Drosophila melanogaster: one gene and its partner. The protein of the gene in region 2 binds, or shares a complex with, the protein of the main gene of each other region. Each region holds a gene or a part of one and is shown on either strand. Other genes may lie near its edges. A codon is read from its position in the direction of its gene.

Region 1 (6,619 bases), on a different chromosome or scaffold from region 2:
CGTGAGGGTGGAAACCGTGGCCCACGGGATGGCCAGCAGCATAATAACGAGGGCGGCGGTTCATCCGCTCAAAATCAAAGGCCACCCATCGATCGTCGCGGTCCGGGAAACAACCAGAACAACAATCAGAACAGCGGTCCAGGGCCGAATAAGCGTTTTGAGCGACAACAGAACACCGCTCCCAAGGTCAACGATGAGCGTCAGTTTCCCACTCTGGCTTAAATCGATCGTTTTGGGCAGGAGTAGGTTCCTCAAATTGCAGTTTTGGTTACTGACGATGGTGAATGAAAGCAGCAAGTTACCAAAATGAAAACTTATAAATTACGTATATCACAGACAACAAACTTTTTAAAAACTAAAAGAAAAATGGGGAAATTACGAAAACAATTGTAGCCGCCATTATAAGCCAAAAGCAACAAAAATACCAACCAACAAGCTAAGTAAAAAAAAACGGATAATAAATTATACATATGTTTAAAGATATATGAAAAGAGAACACACGAAAAGCAATTTTAGTTTATACGTGGCCAACTAAATCAGATTTTACACGATAAAATCGCGATCAAGCAAGTGACCTCGTGTAAACTAGTCAGTGTCAGGCTAAGTTATCCTCATTATGGACTTTATATCTAGTAGCTGTTCACAATACGAGATTTGTTTCGAGATTTTTTCTAAAACGGCAGGGGCGGTCATGGAAATTGTTTTATTGCATCAACCAAAACCTGATGTGAAGTTGTTTATTTTTATGTTATTACCACTCACCTAATCAAAAAATCATCCTACCTTATAAAAACAAATTACAGTCGCTAACCAGTGATCAAGGCGAATAAAATAAACTAAAGATAAAATATATAATATTCAACATCACGGCCTGATAAATTCTTCTTTGTAAAGAAGAAAAATACACTATTACAATAGTTTGTTTTCATCGAGAGAACAGTAAAAGCATTTTCATTACTCATAAATTTTTTTGTTCAATTACGAATCAACTTTTCGTAGCGAAATGTACGCTTTATTATTTTTACTATGTTAACGTTTATTTAAAATAAAGAAAAACAAAAGGGAGAAATATAAAAATCAGTGGATCGTGAAAGAAACCCAAAACCGAAAGAATAGTAAGTGTTAAAACCTTTGTAACTGTGTTTCTTGGATGCAAATTCTATGATTAAACATTTAAATTTAATAATTAAACAGAGGACTATGCATCATATATACTACTTTTAATTATAAATACCTAACTGAACTTACACACACACACGGAAATACAAAAACAAAACAATATTAATTTAAGCATTATTAAAGAAATAAAAACAAAAAATATTGATTAACTATTGGAGCAAATTAGAAACCTTTAATAAGTAGATTATAGTTGGAGGGAAACTTTCAAAAATATCCATTTCGAGTCATATGAGAGAACCACTCCCGAAAACGCTAATTTGAAGATCCCTGTAAAATCGTTTGCCTACAATTAACTAGAAACTATGTAAATTATATGAGATATATATTCGTACATACATGGTAAAATCAATTTTATGACGGCGAAACAAACACACAAAGCAAAGAAATGATAGAGCAAATGAATATGGAGGAAAACGTAGATGAAAAAATATACGACATTTTTTGAAATATTGTATTGTATTTTGACCCAAAGAAACCATTCAACAAATGTTGAGCAACTCGTTTAAACATAAAACAAGAACATTTATTTGATAAAAATAAAGAACCAAAAAAACACTTGATGTAAGTTTGAAAATTTTGGGGCAAAAAAGAATGAAAAAGTTCATGAAAGAGCAAGATGTAATTCGAGGAGTTACAAAAGATCATAAAGCGAATGGTAAGTGGAGACGGAAAGAATTACGGAATGAAACGAAACCTAAACAAATCTAATGCAGTATTCTCAATTTTATTCACGAAAACCTACAATGAATGAATTCTTTGTTGTGCTTGTTCTTATACTTTTAACGGTAAGTTTTTAGATGGAATGCAAGTGTTACAAATTGGCAAACACATAAAACAAAGTTGCACACAAACACAAGGCGAAAGATAGAATAGACAGAACAGAAAAGCCAACAAATATGCGGAAAAGCAAAAAAAAAAAAATTGGACATAACCCAGAATGAGAAAGCCGAATAGGACAACATTTCAAAGCGTAAATCAAGAAACGCACACGAAAGAAAGATACGATGCCAATAACCAGAAAATGGGACAATTTTTACTTTCAACTTATTTTCTTTTTAAAAAAATGAATCAACTTTACACGCAAAATCTTTTTTTTATATTAGACCTTTCAAGATCCTGTTAGAATAGAACGCAAAGAGGAAACCAAATTAGGAATTCATGTTCTAGGGTTGCCAAGCTCTCTAATTGCTACAGTCAAATAAGGAGAAAAATCCGTAATAAGTACAAAAAGGTGCTTCGACAACTCTGAAACATAACCGAAAATGAACGAATGAAGTCAAAAGGAGCTTAATAAAAGTAAGTATTCGAAAATTGTAAAACGAAAATGGGTGTAACAATATGAGAAAAATCCGTTAGAAGTACAAAAAGGGGCTTCGACAACGCTGAAACATAACCGAAAATGGAAGAATGAAGTCAAAATGAGCTTAAGTATTCGAAAATTGTAAAACGAAAATGGGTGTAACATTAATATTTAAATGGGATAGTTTTTACAATAGAAGAATTAAAAATGATAAGGGGAATAATATATGTAATACGTTTTCAAATGGTTTTAATTTTGCGGATTTAAAAATTGGAAAATGAAAAACTTGTCGAGTCAATTTAGACAAGTTTTAATGAGCTTATTTTTAATGTTGCAAAATTAAATCCGATTCAAAACTAATTGCATATCACTAAGATAGTCTCTTGCTACTTACCCTGCCTTTCAAGAGCAAATTAATTCTTTTTCACTTTATGTATTACCTTACAAACTTTGATAAGTTCAGATCACTTCGCGCAACGCAAAACCGAAAAGGATCTGTTAAAAGTACCAAAAATCTAGTGGTGGAATTTCCCATTGTGCTATCGCAATTCGATATTCACAATTTCGATAATTTATATATATAGCCGTTTTCCACTAACACATCAAATGTGATTTAGCTATTAATGAAATTGTAATATTCAAGCAACCTAAGTGATTCATTCATATGTACATACTTATATGTAAAGATGGTGGTGGCATTTTTAACATGGGGAAGTTCTTATTTATTTACTTTTTCGTTTGTTATAGGTGAATTCCTCTTTATTTTTATACAATATAATTTTATTTTACGTTAAGCAACCAATTTAAGGGCTATGAAACGTAGTAACTAACAGGAGCAACGAAGATAACATGGAAACATACAAAATTTGTATAAAAATATTGATTAGATAATAGTTTGGCTTGTTTATGCCACGTGTCCAAAGATATCTTTGATGACGCCTCCTCAGTGTTCTCCTGGTTGTCTGGTATGTGCCTGATTTAATTTGTTCTCAAACTGAAGGTGGATGCTGAGGTCATGTGCGATATCAACATTTCTCGCGTACCAGGGCGCGTTGGTGATTGTTCGCAACGCTTGGTTTTGGAGCCGTTGCCCTCTCACTATGTCCCACCGCCGATTTGACCCGCAGACGTATCCCGCTTGTCCCCAACAACCGCACTTCATCATAATACATCATCTCTAGACCACACTCAAACGATTTATTTATTAAAACTAAGTGATATATAGGGAATTGTTATTGAAGGTAATTAGTATAATTCAAAAACGCCCAACACGCTGTTCTTTCATTGAAATACAGTGGAGCCCTGCTTGCAAGCAGTGCAAGTTTAAAAAACATCGCAATGCTATGTGTGTGTACTCGCTTAAAAGCCAGATGTACATTAAAATACGGTAACACTGTTGACTTCTGAAACCCAAACTACTTCCAGTTGGGAATTGTATTAGCCATGGGAAGGCATTTCTTGACAAGCCACCGCCCGGTAACACTAAAACGCGTTAGGGTGTTCTGTCAACTCGTTCTGCGAATACAGAAACGAAAAAAATAGTAAACAACATTTATTGGAGGGAAAAAAAGAAATAGCCCGGCTTCCGCATAAACAACTGTCGCAGACCCGCAGCACCGATTAAAGCCGACAGCCGACGCCAGTTAACCTAACCTCTGATCAAATTAAGTGGGCCAAAATGAGCGTGGAGGAGGAAGTGTTTCGAATCCAAAAGAAGATGAGCAAGATGGCCAGCGACGGCACAGTAAGTATCGGGATTAGCTAACGTGCCGCGCATCATGTCACAAATATACATATATCCACCGTACAGGGACAGGATCAGGCTCTGGACCTGCTGAAGGCCCTGCAAACGCTTAACATCAATCTCGACATTCTGACCAAAACGCGCATCGGCATGACCGTAAACGAGCTGCGCAAGAGTAGCAAGGACGACGAGGTGATCGCTCTGGCCAAGACGCTGATCAAGAACTGGAAACGATTCCTCGCCAGCCCGGCGCCAACCACACCGAACAACAGCTCCGCTAAGGAGGGCTCCTCCAACAACAGCAGTGCCTCGAAGTCCACCAGTGCCGCCAAGTCGTCGTCGTCAATCTCCGGCAAGGATAAGTCCAGTTCATCCAGCTCATCCAAGGATAAAGAGAAGAAAGGCTCGACATCCTCGTCACAGACCTCGTTTCCCTCCGGCGGCATGACAGATGCGGTCCGCATCAAATGCCGCGAAATGCTGGCCACCGCACTGAAGATTGGTGAAGTGCCCGAAGGATGCGGTGAGCCGGAGGAAATGGCCGCCGAACTGGAGGATGCCATTTACTCCGAGTTCAATAACACGGATATGAAGTACAAGAATCGCATTAGGTCACGCGTGGCCAATCTGAAGGACCCCAAAAATCCTGGATTGCGAGGCAACTTTATGTGCGGCGCCGTCACTGCCAAGCAGCTGGCCAAAATGACGCCGGAGGAGATGGCCAGCGATGAGATGAAGAAGCTGCGCGAGAAGTTCGTCAAGGAGGCCATCAACGATGCCCAGCTGGCCACCGTGCAGGGCACCAAGACCGATCTCCTCAAGTGCGCCAAGTGCAAGAAGCGCAACTGCACCTACAACCAGCTGCAGACTCGTTCCGCCGATGAACCTATGACCACCTTCGTCATGTGCAACGAGTGCGGCAACCGATGGAAGTTCTGCTAACTCCCAAAATTGTTCCAAAATATAAATCAATCCCAAATGAGCACACACCACACATCCTTCATATTCTTAAATGAAACATTGTAAAGACACGACACGCGAGAAAACATTTTGTATCTGCTGCCCAACTGCGGAGGCGTTTACTCTGACCACCTAAACCTTAAACGAGAGAAAAGAAATTTCAATAAACATTAACTATTGATAAAACGGAGACGTCTTGTTGCCGCAATCAGTTTTTTAAAAACGCCGGTGATAACGACCACGCTGCTGATAACTCGCCGATAACACAGCGGGGCGATAAATTGAGCATTGAGCAAAGTAAATATGAATACATTATAAATATAACTCAGAATGATCTAGCAGAGAAGTAAATAAGACGCCATATTGTGTATGTATTCTCGAAGAGTATTAACAACCGATGTAATTAGTCAGTTTTAAAGCAATTTGCATTAACGAACTTTGTATTGCATTAAGTATAGAAGTCGGAACGGGCCAGATCGGACAACTATATCATATAGCGGGCATAGGAATAATTAAAACATTAACGCAAAATAAATATGTGTTCGTTGTGTTAGATCCATTAGGTGTTCTAATGTTTTGTTCATCTTAGTCAACGTCAATTTCAAAGTGGATGTTTATGATGGAAATCCAGTTCACGACACCATCATCCATTTCGAGGGTTAACTTATAGCTACCCTTTGGTAATGGGACCTTGGCAAACATACGATCATCCAAGGTGCAGTTCCTTATGTAAATATCATCCTTAAAATATATATTTTAATATGATTTAATATGATTGTCATATTGGCGAAACTAAATACTTACATTATAGGGACATGTATGATTAATATTGGAAAAGGGCATAAAGGCGGTGTAGAAATAGTAGAAGACTCTGAGACGATTTGGATACCTTAGGACGCGACAGTGTTCCTCGGAAACATTAAATAGAAACGGATGGTATCCGTTTAGCTTCCGGTAAGTGATGAATCTCACGACCATCCTATTTATTGGCAGTTTCAGAAGCTTAACGTGTATGTTGGCTCCGATAATTCCCCTGCCAAGCACTTTTAGTCGGCATTCGGGAAAGACGACGAATGATTTGTCATAGCTTTCGCACTTGAGGTTCGTGAGGCGCACGTATCCATGGGATTCTCCAATGAAAAGTAAGCTGATCCACAAGAGGTACTTCATCAGGGCAAATAGTCTGGATGTAATGACCACTCTACGCGATGGTGGAGTACTGGTTTCCAAAAATATAATTACTGATGGGGCATAATTAGATTTTAATTACTACTTATCGCAGTTCGTATAAATAATTAGGTAATCAACAAACCGCTTCAATGAGCTAATATGACGACATGTTTAATATATTGACATAGAAAAAAGATATTTCTTGAAAAATGCAATAGCTTATGACAGATATTTTGAAATGCGCGCCGAAATTAGGCAGGTCGATA
Region 2 (8,802 bases):
TTTGCCTCGTCCTCCGGCCAAAACCTGAGCCTTCAGCACCAGGTTATCGGTCTTCAGCTTGGTGGCGATATCGTTGGCCTCCTTGCCGTTCTTGGCAACAGCGAAACTGCAAAAAAATGAATCACTCAGTACGCGAAATAATTTTGGGGGTGCGCTCTTTACGATGTTCCTGATTGATTGTTGATAGGAACATTTCACGTAAATCGTGTTATCAGTAGACCACAAAGGTTGAAAGTTGAGACAAGGTTATTCGGTCATTCGAGAGATGACAAGCCCTCATTTAGAAAATAAATCAGTCGCCTGATTTTACCTGAATAATAGCAAAAGCAACTACTATCTTTTGATTCTAATAATCTCAATTTATCAAACGAAATGGAAATCAAAATATTCTAGCTTTGCAATTGCTTAAATTTAAATTACAGGTATTTTAAACATTAAAATATATTTTCTTTACCCAAAGTTTATGTATATTTAGTTAGTTTAATTATGATAGACGTCAACTAATGCCGCTTCCATCTTATCAAAGCCCACGTCACTGACCCTTGTCACTTTACGCCGATCAAAGTGTGTTATAGTATAAAACTTGTTATCACCCTTATCATCGGCGGCTGCGTTTCTCTGGTTTGTTTACCCCGTAGTCGGCTATACTCAATGCATATTATTAAGTTCAGGCAAAGTCCAAAACGCACATAAGCCAAAGGAAACAGACGACGCAACGACAACGCGGCACTTTCATTGAACTTTGGACTGCGACTTTGACGCAAATTGTTGGTTGTTTGCCCGCGATTTTGATAATTCCGATTGGGTTTACTCACCGAGGTGTTGGGATCTTGGCCTCATTGAGCAGACTGTAGGAAACGTGTTCCTGGACATTGAGGTTCCTCAGCTGCTGGACGGCGATGGGAGCCAGGCCAAGAATCTGAAAAGGTTGGAATTTTTGCCATGTTAATTTGCGAAAATTAGATGCTAATTAAAGATAACAAGAAAAATAATTAAAAATATATTTAAAAGGATGAAAATAAAAACGATTTCGAAACTTATTGTACTTATAAATGAAATCTTAATTCCAGTCACGAGGTCATTGTCAAGCAAAAATTAAACATAAAAAAACTGGTTCGGTGATTCATGTGAAAAAAACATAAACAAAAAGCGGCGAAAAGAAACGAAATCTGGGTTAAGAGCAAGTTCGTCCGGCTAACGGCGTTTCCCGGTGATAACCGAAACTAATTCACAGATTAAGAATTTAATTAGAGGGCCCGGCGACAACAGCAACAACAACCACAAACGATAAGCAACAGTTGTCAGCTGCTCATTGATAAAAAACAAACTAAATTAAGTGGGGGAATAAATGGGGCTTTCAAGGTCCCCACACACACACATGCGTACGAAAAGCGCACAGTTGCGTCACACTGACACAATAAAAAAGTCAGGTGTCTTTGGTGATCGTGACTCTCTTTAAATCTCACACTCTCCCCGTTTCTCTGGAGAAACAATTAGTTAACAAATGGCAAAGAACTTAAATTATCGCTTAAGTTTTTTTTTTGTACCGATAAACGATCAGCATTTCACATGTGTGAGTAAGTGAGAGACAGAGAAGGGGACAGCGTAGGTGTTCACTCTCTCTTTTCGCCTTATTATGTAAAGCGACGGATTTTCGCATTTTTTACACACAAATATGACTACTAATTGGCGAACTCACCTTTTTTATGGCCGCTGGCCTAACGGTTTCGATCAGGGGGCCGCCAGTTCGTGCCAAGAATGAAGCCATTTTGTTCTGAAATCGAATGAGAACGTACGTTTAACGATTTGAAAGCGAATTTTGACGTTACTGCTTACATTTCAAGATTTTTTTGCCGTCGCCTGCTGATGGAGGTGGTAGAGCTTCGATAGCAGGGACTTTTTTATGCTTTTACAATCGAAAATGCCGAAAAACTATCGTGAACTTAATGCAAGGTTGGAAACTGTAATATATTAGCAAAGATTCAAGCCAATTTGGCGGGAACTTTTAATATTGCATGCCATCTAAATTATTTTTCAACTACCGTTATTTTTATGATAATAATAAATTCGCAAATATAATAATATATTCACAAATGTCACAATATAATCTAGACCACTTTTAAATCGAAATTAGTTCGATTAGTTCCCAGTTACTTTGAACATAGCTTAGAGCAAACAAAATCATTGATTTCCCTTTTATTTTATTTTTTCATTTTTTTTTTGGATTTTACATTGCAGCTTGTTATAGGACAAAAAAAACGTGATCACCATCAATACATACAATTAACATACATTCAAGACAATAAATAAGTTTATAAATAGTAGATAGCTATCTAGAAGACTTTAAAGTAGAGCTGTAAATTACGCCAGAATTCTACACTGTGCTACAAACAAGCGCTTAGTGCGCACTTCCGGTTGGCGTGTCTGCAGCAGAGTGTAAGCATTTTATAAACTTTTTTGCAAACGGAAACAGAAAGACGAAAATCGCGCAAATGCTTCACTTGAATTTGCTTGAGCACATCAATAATAAATCAGCCGCGGCGTTGATTTTGTGCAAGCGAATTTTCCAAGTAAAGCAGTGCATTTTCATTACGGCCAAAATGCAGCATGGCTCATATGTATACGTACCACGCCCACTGCGCCCTTCTTTTTAAGGGCAAGTGGCAGGTTGTGTGATACAGGAGCATGCCGAATTTTGACCCACACAAAAGTATATAGAACAAAAAACAGTTTATAAGCATTGCAATGATTTGCATTTAAGTTCCATTTTGCAGTTTAATCTGATTTGGTAAAAACAGATTTCAAAGCAAAATGGTTTTGGGAAAAGCGGAAAAGTTTGAAGAGAAGTTTTCAGCTGCTTGCGCTTATTTTGCATTTGATTATTTTACACAGCTTTTGGGATAGCAGCAAAAAGTGTGCAGAAAATCAATGGCATTGGCAAAACAAATCACAGACAGCGAAAAATTGAGAAGTTTAAATCTAACATAGAACACAAAACACACAATAATATACAATAATGGACTAGGACAAGTGCACGAACATATAAATAAACAAAGACAGAGAACATACTACATATAAAACATATTAAAACTAAGCGAATTCCGTAAAAGCAGCGATCCATCAGCGTAAATCGTAAAATCATCAAAAAGTTCTTATTTTGTCGGTTCCGGTGCCAGCCCAGTCAAAATTTGCATATATGTATCTTGATTAAGAACCCAACTTAATACTCCAGACTCGTTTCAATAACTTGCAGTACGCGCTGCCGACCGATTTTGTTCCAGAACAGATAGGGTTCCTTGGAACCGGTGACTTGGCGTGGTGAGCTGAAAAGTGGCACAAATCGTAAACTCATATGATATGGTATATGGTATAAAGTCTTACGCCTGAAAGCAATCAAATCGCACCACGCCCCTTTCGTTGATTAGACAGGAGTGTATGTCGATGACCTTTAGGTGACAGCATTCGCTTCGGATAAACTTGTTGAATCGGTAGATTTTGTCACATAATACCTTATCGTGACAATAGTTGCCCAGCGGTGCAAGATTTGTTAGAATCGGCACCAATCGCATATTGTGCATCTCCTTGATCAGTAGCCGAAAATCGTGCTCGATCTGAACCAAAGGCTTGCCGCGCATAATGTCCACCGATCCGATATTGACGATGATCTGAGTACCCTCGGGTAATTGGACTCTTTTTAAACGATTTCGGGCGCCATTGATCGTCAGTCCGGATACACAAAGTCCTGACTGCAGGACGCGTTCGTGACGCCTAAATCGGCATTTTAGCTCCATTCGGGCGAGATATAGCATAAAATCATCGCCCATAAGCGGAAAGTCCAGCAGATAGGCATCGTAATCCGAGTTAATCGTCAGCAGAGAATCGTTGTAGGTTCCACTGGTTAAAATCGTTGGCGTGGGCGTCATTTCGTGGCGTCTCTTCATTATGTTCATGCCGTTAAATGGATGCACAAAGATGCCCAAATGGCGGTTTTCAGTCGGTTCGGTTTTCTGGCTTTGGGTTCTGCAGCTTGGCTGATGCCCAGGTGGAGCCAAATTGATTGGTTCCTCTGGGGCATCGGGGCTGTAGATGTTGATGGGTACTGGCATTTTTGGCGCATTTACGCTGGCTTGCTGGTAGAAATTGTTGCTAGGAGTTCAGTAGAAAGATTAGTACATTTTGTTAAGTAAAGGTTTATTTTTGCTATAGTTGCACTGTCTACAAAACACCTTTTCAGTACTCACAGATGCTTCCAATTATCCTGGTAGCACCAGTTCGACTCCGCTGCCTCATTGGCCATTTGATGCAGCGAAACCGGCCTGGTGGCGATATCCTTGGTCTTTTCATCCGTTATCTTGGGCACGGTCCTCGGGCTGGTGTTCAGCTGGGACAGAGCCCTCCGTTTGAAGGGATTCTTCCAGTAGCGTGGAGGTGCTCGTGGTATGTTCTCCAGGGACGGAGCTCCGCTGCTGTAGTCGCTGGTGCGCTCTTTCTGGTTGAGCACCATATCCAGGAGGTGACCGTTCTTCAGGCTCGCTTTCAGGTTGAAGATCCGCTTACCGGACTCGCTGCACTCAGCGGTCACATTGGGAATGGTCAGCAGGAAATCCGTCACGTTGTCGTGCAGTGGAAATGGATTGCCCGTCAGTTTTCGATATTCACCTGGCGAATTTCAATTATAGAATTATTTAAGGGTAATCTTACAAAAAAGAAACATAGAAAAAATATAAATTAAAATAAATATACTAAACTATAAAAGTTATATAATCCAAATAAAATTTAATAACCTACTAAAAATTTATACATTTTAGATTTCTAACTAAATATAGCCACTTAGAGAAAGTTCTGAAGTGTTTGATGAAGTCGAAACTTCTGGAAAGAAGAAAGCTTTCAAACATAAAGCTACTCACTCTTGATGCTCGATATCGTGATTCCATTCTGGGCGTGGCTCAGCAATATGGCGCGCACCTCACTATCTATATCGGGATATTCCTCGCGCACGGATATATAGTTGCTCTCGATGATGGTCATGTTGTTCTCGCTGGTGTTGCTGTTGCTGTTGTAGGTGATTTCCTTGGTGGAAATCTGAGTGGACGAGAAGAGTCTGGCTACGACTTGCAACTGCTGGCTGCTCTGCCGGCTGGTGAGTTCATGGGCCACCAATGGCACCTTCCACAACTCCGGCAATTCGGTTTTTCGCGCCGATTTGAAGATCTTCCGAAAGCGTTCGCCGCATGCGGAGAAATCGGACCTTACGAAGATCTGGTTGAGGCAGCTGGAGGAACTCTTGCGAAAGGAACCGGATGACTGGAGTTTATCGCGCAACTGCTGGAAACACGTGGTCACCCGCTTTTTCACGGACTTAAGATAATAGGTTTTGGCGGAAGTATTGGTGCTGGTATAACTGATCGGTTTGCTGGGGAATTCACTTGTGACTGCGGCCATCGCTTGGAGGAAAGTGATCCAATATTCTTGGATCCCTCGCCAACGCGGTCCACTTCTCCATTCATCTGCATTTTGGAGACTTACGGTGCTTTTCGTACTGGAAGGCGAAAGAGCAGGCGCAACAGAAGTAACGGTGAGCAGTTTGCAGAGATAATGTTTCCAGATCAACAGAATTTGTGAAAATACATTAGGGTGGTACAACCAAAAAATTTTGAAAAAATAAAAAACTGTTTTCAGAACCTAATATAGAACCTATATATATATATATATATTCATTTTCTTTAATTTTTTTATCAATTTGTTCCCATTCGCCCACCATTAGGTTAACATTCAAAGCAGTCTACGTAGCCAGTAAAAACAATTAAACGAAATTACCACCTGCATTGCCATTTGACGACCATTACACAAAGCAGTTTGCACTCCGTTCCAGCTGGACATTCGTTTTAATGGCCTTTCTCTTGGTCCAGATTAGAAAACAGCACGCCAGTGGGTCTGCAGAGCTGCTTGATAAGCAATTACGAAGTAGCATATACATAAATTCCAGAATAACTCAAATGGTGCCGACGAGCGTTACCACGTGCGGTGGTGCTCTGGTGGTCTGTCGGCTAATCGGCAAATGGAGCTGCTTGGCAGCAATTCCCCAGGAGATGATTATCCATCCATACAGCAAGTGCACCTGAAACTCCGAGAAGGGTAATGGAGGCACTTGCTCTGAGGGTTAGTCCAGCGATTGATGGATGACTCAGGGGCTTTCTTACATCTCGTGATGATTCCGGCACCCCGGAAGAAGCACAGACAATCGGAAGGAGGATTATGGCTTCTTAGCTTAAGCAAGTTGGATACAGTCAAACATCAGTAATGCGTACCAGCAAGAAATTACAAAAATTAAATCAGTAAAAATTTTACTTAACTAGCAGATCAGAATAATAAAAAAATAATTTTCAATAAGGTGTTGATGGGTTCAAAGGGTAATATATATAGAATGGGCAATAGTTAGTGCCACTACAACCTATCTGTAATTTAGGGAAGTACTTCCTTATAGATGTTGGACTGTATATTTTCCCTAGCCTTGCCTTAATTGCAGAGGATGCTGCAGAGACGTGACGAGCAATACAATACTATATGTATGTAGAAAAACTGGGCGAGAACATGTGGTCCAATTTATAAATCTCGACCCTTCTCCCATTTTTATTTGCTGAATGTGTAAGCCCAATAATTTAGAGTGGGATGAATCAGCCGGCTTTTCTTGCCATTCAATTTTCCCTTTTCGGGTGGTGTTTCAAATATTTTGAATGCACTCGCACAGCACAGGGCAATTGTCCGGTAATAATAGTAATTTGCATTCCAGGCCCTCTCTCATTCTCTCTACTCCCAGCTAAGAATTACAGTGGTCACTCGATTGTAAGGTAAGGAATTATACATATATTTATGGTATTTGGCAACCTTCCTTGTATTTCTATAAGCGTAATTGTAGGAAGTAACCACTGAAAAATAAATTTGTTTAATATTTTTAAAGACATTTTCCTACTCTCTTCCTTTCTAACAACTACTACCATGATTGACGACCATTTTTGATTGACAACTTTTGCATTTGCGTGTGGTGGGTGTGCATTGGAAATCGCAAAAAGCAATTTACCGCCTAGATTTGTGAACGACACTTTTCATTGGGTTCGACTGCATTTCTGCATAAATTATGGAAGCCGACGGAGCAACTTGTTGTTATTCTGTCTGCTGTCTTAGAATTTTTACCAGCAGCGAATTCATTTCGCAGAGGGCGGCTAAATGTTGGGGGATAGGCAAATTATTGTAATCAATTTATGCGAACAATTTAGCTATTGCCTCACTTTGGTGGGGCGGAGAGACACCTGTTAATCTGCTGACAGGCGGAAAATCTCAGGAATGCTGATTGCGTTGCACACGATTAACCAGAAGTTCACCCCAATGGCAACTGAATCTGATCGCCTTTCGGCGGCAGCTCCATCACTAATTTCCAGTAATTATCCTTATCCGTTTCCAGAGTCTGGCTTAACATCTGTTATTATTACTCCGCAGCAAATCGATTGATTGCCCTGCAAAAGGGCCTTAATCAGGGCGCCGCAATTCAAACACACGTAATTAGAGCCCTGCTGTAATTCTATGGATGTGGAACACACTGAAGAAAAAAACGGAAAAATAAAACGGAAAATAAATAAAATATACGGAAAGATCGTTCTAGTCAATCAATCCATTTCGATTTGTAATAGTTTGGAATGATTGGAATATGAAGTTAACTTAATTCGAGATTAAGTTCTTGGTCTACAATCAATTTTTGGACAGTGCATGGCTAACTCCTTTATGATGACCGGTTACAGGTTGGCCAACAGATTGTAAAATGGCAAAACACTCGAGATAAACGGCTAAGCATCTGGCTGAGTGTGTGGCCGGTTGGCAATTAATCAAGGCTAGGTGTCGCAGACCGTAAGACTGCTTCCGATTCCGGTTTTTGAACCCCAAGAAAGTCCTCATTATGCCCACACGATATGGTAATTTCGAAGCTGTCTTGACGGAAGGCTGCCAGTCACTTTGGATATTTATTTTCAAAAATAATGAATGCCTGCGTGCACCTTAAGTGTTTATTTTTTAAAGTTTTAAAAATGTATCTTACATTTTTTTAGAATAATACTTCATTACAATTTAAATCACATTTATTTGATTTACTGTTTATTTAAGGGTTTTAATATTTTAGCAAAGGTCAAAGGCAATGTCAATACAAACACAATTTACAAATACAAACAACGATCAGCTTGGAAACGCTTCTGTCAACGAGACGTTGCTTGCCCTGTAGAAAAGACTTTATTTAAAAAAAAGATTTAATGTTGAAGGTGTAAAATTTTAAATTCCTATTCAATAACGGATGTGCGACTTAAGTTATCGATAACTTATTGATGAACCATTTTGTTGTTACTCGCTAGTAATGGCGATTCGTTAGCAGTTAAGAGCTTAAAGGCTAGAACGAAATCCAAATAGACAGACGAAGTGAATTTATTAATGGCCCATCCAAGGACGACAAAAAAATATTCAACAACAGATATAAAAAATAAAAACAAAACACATCACCAAACCTTAACCAAACATAGGTCAGTTTCACGCAGTTCATCAATTTTTAGCTATACTGCTTGCACATTTCCCCGCCAGAAACAGGTTTTTCGCCGCAACGACGCATCTCTGACACTTGCGTTTCCTTTGCAGCTGCTTCGCTCGAATTTGGTTCTCAGTCGGTTCAGATTATCGCGCTTGTGCGGTTGTGCGGAGCGGACGAGTTGAAATGGCCGAGTCGTGAACTTGAAATCTATACAGGCGTTTTAAAACATAAACAAACAA

Evidence for each region. Proteins that work in one complex are often made in the same cells at the same time.
Region 1: the proteins of osk (region 2) and vas are in contact, whole or in part, in a crystal structure (PDB 5NT7), measured with the Drosophila melanogaster proteins. Residues at the interface, in NP_731295.1 of Drosophila melanogaster: Asp155 (codon at 4,980), Ser158 (codon at 4,971), Glu159 (codon at 4,968), Arg161 (codon at 4,962), Ala162 (codon at 4,959), Ile163 (codon at 4,956), Leu165 (codon at 4,950), Ser166 (codon at 4,947), His167 (codon at 4,944), Glu180 (codon at 4,657), Arg182 (codon at 4,651), Lys183 (codon at 4,648), Leu184 (codon at 4,645), Thr185 (codon at 4,642), Gly186 (codon at 4,639), Lys224 (codon at 4,525), Asn225 (codon at 4,522), His227 (codon at 4,516), Leu228 (codon at 4,513), Asp230 (codon at 4,507), Met231 (codon at 4,504), Val232 (codon at 4,501), Asn234 (codon at 4,495), Gln235 (codon at 4,492), Lys236 (codon at 4,489); in NP_001260458.1 of Drosophila melanogaster: Lys474, Tyr475, Arg478, Arg500, Asp503, Phe504, Ala506, Ser507, Phe508, Ser510, Glu511, Lys512, Glu513, Thr516, Thr517, Ser518, His520, Gly521, Asp522, Arg523, Leu524, Gln527, Arg528, Ala531, Met540.

The regions. Positions count from the first base shown.
Region 1 is NT_033779.5:15,058,037-15,064,655, reverse strand, and holds the start of vas (vasa), read right to left. Parts: upstream 3,001-6,619; 5' UTR 2,874-3,000; intron 1,726-2,873; exon of another isoform or gene 223-1,725; coding exon of another isoform or gene 1-222. Other genes in the region: vig (vasa intronic gene), read left to right, coding at 1-222; TfIIS (RNA polymerase II elongation factor), read left to right, coding at 4,158-4,223, 4,290-5,165; CG33679 (uncharacterized protein), read right to left, coding at 5,769-5,924, 5,988-6,353. UniProt on the Drosophila melanogaster protein: Involved in translational control mechanisms operating in early stages of oogenesis.
Region 2 is NT_033777.3:8,931,786-8,940,587, reverse strand, and holds osk (oskar), read right to left. Parts: upstream 5,463-8,802; 5' UTR 5,443-5,462; coding exon 4,908-5,442; intron 4,873-4,907; exon of another isoform or gene 4,789-4,872; intron 4,660-4,788; coding exon 4,242-4,659; intron 4,147-4,241; coding exon 3,382-4,146; intron 3,324-3,381; coding exon 3,221-3,323; 3' UTR 2,193-3,220; downstream 1-2,192. Other genes in the region: ScsbetaA (Succinyl-coenzyme A synthetase beta subunit, ADP-forming), read right to left, coding at 1-106, 816-919, 1,700-1,768. UniProt on the Drosophila melanogaster protein: Organizes the germ plasm and directs localization of the posterior determinant nanos. Oskar protein is required to keep nanos (nos) RNA and staufen protein at the posterior pole.